Saccharomyces cerevisiae S288C: one gene and its partner. The protein of the gene in region 1 interacts with the protein of each later gene in a pairwise test. Each region holds a gene or a part of one and is shown on either strand. Other genes may lie near its edges.

The links.
Region 2: the proteins of TRM112 (region 1) and MTQ2 interact in binary tests that used the Saccharomyces cerevisiae proteins (3 or more experiments, as listed by UniProt).

What each region holds. Positions count from the first base shown.
Region 1 is NC_001146.8:705,578-708,695, forward strand, and holds TRM112 (RNA methylation protein TRM112), read left to right. Parts: upstream 1-2,210; coding exon 2,211-2,618; downstream 2,619-3,118. Other genes in the region: AGA1 (Aga1p), read left to right, coding at 1-299; PET494 (Pet494p), read left to right, coding at 562-2,031; serine/threonine protein kinase FPK1, read left to right, coding at 2,946-3,118. UniProt on the Saccharomyces cerevisiae protein: Acts as an activator of both rRNA/tRNA and protein methyltransferases. Together with methyltransferase MTQ2, required for the methylation of eRF1 on 'Gln-182'.
Region 2 is NC_001136.10:732,474-735,658, forward strand, and holds MTQ2 (S-adenosylmethionine-dependent methyltransferase), read left to right. Parts: upstream 1-1,664; coding exon 1,665-2,330; downstream 2,331-3,185. Other genes in the region: HPR1 (Hpr1p), read left to right, coding at 1-363; NEDD8 family protein RUB1, read right to left, coding at 1,145-1,229, 1,303-1,451; DOP1 (Dop1p), read right to left, coding at 2,428-3,185.

The DNA of each region.
Region 1 (3,118 bases):
CATCACTTTCCGCAACATCTATCTCTACACCATCTACCTCTGTGGAATCGACTATTGAATCTTCATCATTGACTCCGACGGTATCTTCTATTTTCCTCTCATCATCATCTGCTCCCTCTTCTCTACAAACATCTGTTACCACTACAGAAGTTTCCACTACTTCAATCTCCATACAATACCAAACTTCATCAATGGTAACAATTAGCCAATATATGGGCAGTGGATCGCAAACGCGTTTGCCATTAGGAAAGTTGGTCTTCGCCATCATGGCAGTTGCTTGCAATGTAATTTTCAGTTAATATCAGAACAATTTAATTCATTTATATAAACATATACAATCAATCGAATAAAAATACAACAATGTAATGAAAACGCTCTCTATTGATATGTATTTGCTGACGCTTATAAATTTATTAAAGTTTTATTTTAAACCGTTCTAGTGACTTCACGCGGGGAGATACATCCAATAGTAAATTACAAAATAAGGAAAGTATAAAACAAACGGATAACAACAGTAGCTTGGAGACAGCAAAGGCACCCGAGCAGGCGTGGAAACACACGATGCATTTGAAAAAGGGGAAGAGGAGTATTAGCACAGTATGGCGACTTTTATGGAAGCGTTTTTATTCCGTAAACTCTAAGACGAATATGCATTTTTCTCGAAGTAGGAAGAAACCAGTGACAAACTTCACAAGGACAAACGGACTTCTCCTGAGCTGTAATGGTGATACATTCCCATATCTGCGTACACTGTGGAGATACTTCAATGCGCCTGGTAATTTGATGTTTGTCACAACTAATATTGTCGCATTTATGGGCATTGTTACGTATAATACGCTGGTTACTATCAGCAGTGAAAGAGCATTCGAAGAGCAGATGATGGCGGCACAGGTGAGCCTGGCGAAACAGAGAGAAGAGCTCGAGACTACGGCCCTCAGCTTGCCACGAGATATTGAATTGAGGGGTGAAGAAGATGATATTAAATGGGAGCAACCTGATGTAGCACATGTCCGGGAAGATCCCTTAGTCGAGGAGCAGAACGCAAAGTTAGACACCCCTATAAAACAGTATACTTTAGGAGATTTGATTTTGAATAAGAGGGAAAATGTCACTGATTATGACTCGCAGCGTGCGAAGGCATCTATATTCCACATGCTATATGCTTATATGCTGTATCGAGATGTTATTCAACCCACGACCATGACTCAAAATAACAACAGCGAGGAATGGCGGCGTGAAGTCGAGCTTTTGACTAAGGGAAAAGAGGTACAAGGTACTCATCGAAGGATAGACGTGTTCTACGACCTGTGGAATAAAAATTTCGATAAGATAGTGACATCACCTGAGAAAGTGCAGAATTTTCAACTGCCGAACTGGTCTAAATACCCAACGATATTGAAATTCATCTGCACAGAACTTCACGACAACAGTTTGAAGACCTTGGGTGAGTTTAAGCAATTCTATGGAAAGGTGCGATCTAACGAGGTAAAAAAACTGTTGGGTCTTTGGCTGTACGACCATTCCTTCCTTTTCCCCCATAATATCTACGACAACAGAACCGAAGAAGATTTTTACGATATATTAATTAATGACTCCATGCAGGATAACAGGATATTCCAGAAATACTCTTCAATTGTAATGAATCCCTACAACGAACGTACTCAACTTTTTTTCCCTAATGTAAATTCTCCATCTGTCAACAAGCCAGTACCGAGCATATCTCTGGAAACATACACACGACTACTCAAGGGATATATCAACTTGCAAGAAACAGGCTGCAAATACGACTATAATGACAATATATTCAAACTAATCAGCATCCTCAAACTAAATTGTTTCCTACAACGCAACAAGAAGAAACACGCAGGGCCAACCGTCAGAATCCTACTGCCGAGAGATGAAGACCGCTCTCAAATACTTGGTACCATTTCGCAGGCAGAGAAGAGAACCTGTTATCAAATTCTAAGCAAAAATAGGGACGTGGTTGCGCTGCTGAAACGCATTTCTGATATCCAGGCGGACTCTTCTTAATAAAACATGTAAATATGTACCTCCCAAATCACACTCATCATCTCATACGAAACTGTATCTTTTTGGGTAAAATTTTCATCGATGAGCTTTAAAAGCAAAACTACTTCACCAGCAATGAAGCTACTGTAGCATCCTATGATCTCTTCGGCTCTACACATCATATTACTAGCCTAGTCAACATGAAGTTCTTAACCACCAACTTCCTAAAGTGCTCCGTTAAAGCCTGTGACACCAGCAACGACAACTTCCCCCTACAGTACGACGGCAGCAAATGCCAATTGGTACAGGATGAATCTATCGAGTTCAATCCAGAATTCCTTCTGAACATAGTCGACCGCGTAGACTGGCCTGCAGTGCTCACGGTTGCTGCCGAATTGGGAAACAACGCCTTACCTCCTACCAAACCATCCTTCCCATCTTCGATCCAGGAGCTCACCGATGACGACATGGCCATCCTTAATGACTTGCATACTTTACTGCTACAGACGTCCATTGCCGAAGGTGAAATGAAGTGTAGGAACTGCGGACATATCTATTACATCAAGAACGGCATTCCAAACTTGCTGTTACCTCCACACCTGGTATAAATCAAGCGAGATCTCTGTGTGTGGGCACGCAAGACGAAAAGACAACTATATACACAGCTATATATGTAGTAGTAGCCTCATATACGTATGGCATCAAACATGTAGCATAAACAACCTAAAAGGAAAACAAAGACTGAGATCTAACCCACCACAGTTTCTATTTGAGCCTTCCCGTCGCGCGTGATTTGGAGATACAGATTCTAAGAGCTTTAAAGAACGAGATACTCTCCTGTTTTAAGGACTCACCGGCATATAAGGCAGCAAAGTCGCCGGTTTGAAGGTTCAGGGGCCTTGAAGGTAGTATCATTTGGAAAACAGCAAGAGAATATGGCTGGACACCATCACGAACATGAACAAGAGCGCGACCACGAGCAAGAACACGAACACGATTCCCTTCAACGGCCTACTACTGGATCAGAAAGGACTAGAAGTATATCCTTTTCGAAGTTGCTTACGCGGTCATGGAAAAGGAATGCGAGTTCATCGAACAACATGAGTGT
Region 2 (3,185 bases), on another chromosome or scaffold:
AGGAAAAAACTTCAGGATGCTAGGGAGTACAAGATTGGAAAGGAAAGAAAGAAGAGGGCACTGGAAGAAGAGGCTTCGTTTCCTGAAAGAGAGCAAAAAATTAAGTCGCAACGTATAAACAGCGCTTCTCAAACAGAAGGAGATGAGTTGAAGAGCGAACAGACGCAACCAAAGGGAGAAATATCAGAAGAGAATACCAAAATAAAAAGCTCGGAAGTTTCTTCGCAAGATCCTGACAGTGGTGTTGCCGGGGAGTTTGCTCCACAGAATACAACAGCTCAACTAGAAAATCCAAAAACAGAAGATAACAATGCAGCTACTTCGAACATTTCTAATGGTTCATCTACCCAAGATATGAAATAAATTATCCTCTTAATAGAAATTTTAAACTGATAAGAAATTCATGCATAGTGTCCCAAACAATTCAGATAGATTTTAGCGTACCACAGAGATCCTATCAGAGAGTAATACTTATGATGAAAACAAAAGTCAATCCATTCGGTTTAAAAAAATGACAAACCTATATTTGATTAGATTAATCAGGCGTCAATAACGTCCTTAGAAGTCCCTTTGCTAAGACTGATATCGTTGGCAAAAGCATGCTCCGAGTTTAGTATATACTTCCACTTGATAAAGTTGTAGCGCAAAGGATGCTTTTCTTAATGAGAAATTCGGTATACTACAAGAGGACATCCAATCGTGCTTACAAAATTGCCCTGGAAGACATGATTGAGAAGAAATGGCGAAATATGTCTTTTGGTCAGATAGTCTGTAATCGCATATAACAGTATGCTTGGTTTGCTCTTTATCACCACGCTTTTCCTCTCTTTCCAGCGCGAACCATGCAATGGCCAGCTTTATGAAATTTAAACCATAAAGTCATATGAGACCAGCAATCAGACCATATATAGCCGTACTATGCTATAACGGATAATTTGATAGATACTAAACAGTTTTAGTTCACATTTCTCGTCTAAAAACAATTAATTTATTATAACAGACTCTATAGACTAAATTGTATGTATTTTTTTTTTTGACAAATTGGGGGCGGTAGCCTTCCAAAGTCCAAGTGAACTTATGTTCGTTTTGTCTTCTTTTCTAATGAACACCTTCGATAAAATTCCATAAATGACGGAAAATGGTTCTAGTTACCACCTCTTAGTGTTAATACCAAGTGGAGTTGCATTCCCTCTACTAGATGTGCATCCGTTACTGTTAATTTATCATCACTATCCTGGTCGTTAGTAAGGTCTCAAAAACGTAAATAAACTTAAAAGATAATTAACCACTGAATGAACATACATTTGTTTTCCCTGGAATATAAGTCTTTGTTGAGATGGTGGAATCCCTTCTTTTTCCTCCAAAAGTTCCTTGATGTGATATACGAGATCTGATTCCTTCAGCTCAACAGAGATCTCCTTCCCAGTCAGTGTCTTCACTTTAACAATCATCGGTTACGGCTGTAAGGAAGTTAATTACCTTCCTTTATTTATTCCTCTGTCGGAATACTTCATTTGAATAACAGAATTTTGGTTTTTCAGCTAAAAGTTGTTCGTTTGCCTTCCCGAAGACGCCATCGGAATTTGATTTCATATAAATATTGATATAATTATACTCTGAAATATAATATTGATAAACTTAACACAGGGTGAGAAAGGTGAAGTATGCTACCGACCCCTTATGTAAAATGCGATTACGATAAAGTATATGAGCCTGCTGAGGATAGCTTCCTCATACTGGACTGTTTGGAAAAAGAGCATGATTTTTTGAAACAGAAATTTGGTAATCGTTTGGCCATCGTTTGCGAAATTGGTTCGGGATCAGGTATCGTCACAACATTTCTAATGCAAAACAAAATAATACCGCAGGAAAATTCCATCCACTTAGCTGTTGATATCAACCCATGGGCGCTCGAAGCAACTTTGGATACTGCGAAGTTAAATTCATGTAAAAGTTCTTTTTTAGAAGTGATTCAAGCTGATTTAAACTCCAGTATTCGGAATAATCAGGTTGATGTCCTAATATTTAACCCACCATATGTGCCAGCAGAATGTGTGCCAGATGTCCCAGGATCAAGAGAGGAGGCAGACCAATGGCTAGATTTAGCGTTATTGGGTGGAAAAGACGGGATGGCGATTACTGATAAACTGCTACGACAATTAGAACAAATTCTTTCTCCAGATGGTGTTGCATATATATTATTTTGTGCAAGAAATAAGCCTAAAGAAGTCATTAAGAGGTTTGTCGATACTTACAAATGGAATGTGAAACTTATTGAAACGAGAAAAGCGGGATGGGAAGTCCTCAGTGTGTACAGCTTTACAAGGTGACAGTTGCAAAACCTTTCACGTTATAATTGATAACCTGTGTCTTTACTCAAAGCGTATAACTATATTTCGGTTTATAAAGAAAAATTCATAGCTATGCTCATGACAGAATATCTTTTTTGAGATCTTCACCACAACCATATAAATCAACTGACCCTAGTCCGTAAACTTTCTCATAATGTAGATAACTCAAATTCTGGAAGAAGCTTCTTAGTTGCGTGTGTCTCTCGATTTTGTGAATGCCTCGTAATAATGGGAGACCATCTTTTAAAGTTGTCGGTAATTCAAGATCATCAGTTTTGGTTATTTCGTAATCTTTGAATTCTGCGATTTCATCTACCAGCGCGACGAATGAGTTCGTTTTATATACGCAATTTATTGTATCAATAACAAAGATCCACTCATTCGTAGAGGTGAAGCCTTCCATGTTGAGTAAGAGTAGCAAATCCAAAGTTTTACATACTTGCAATATTGTTTGTGGATCGACTTCTGACTGTATTTGAAGTGATTCATAAAATTCTTGCAAATTAGTTTGTAAACAGTAACTGATCATAGACCAATAGTCATTGAAATGGGACTCTGAAAATCTTAAAAGTAAAACCCTTAGTAAGATCCAGCAGCTTCCCTTGAGCTTGATATCTTTGGACACCAAATAGTGGAAAATGCAACTTATTAAAGAGGAAAAGTGCAACAAATATGCGTCATTTGGCGATACCATCAACAAGTACGATATTTTCAAAAGGTTTTGGCACTTGTACTCGACTTCAGAATCGCTTCCTAAGTTAAACGTGATTAAAGTCGGAGTCACACTTGAACGCTTGGAGCCAATTTCTAATAGTAAATCGTTCAAGATTTTTG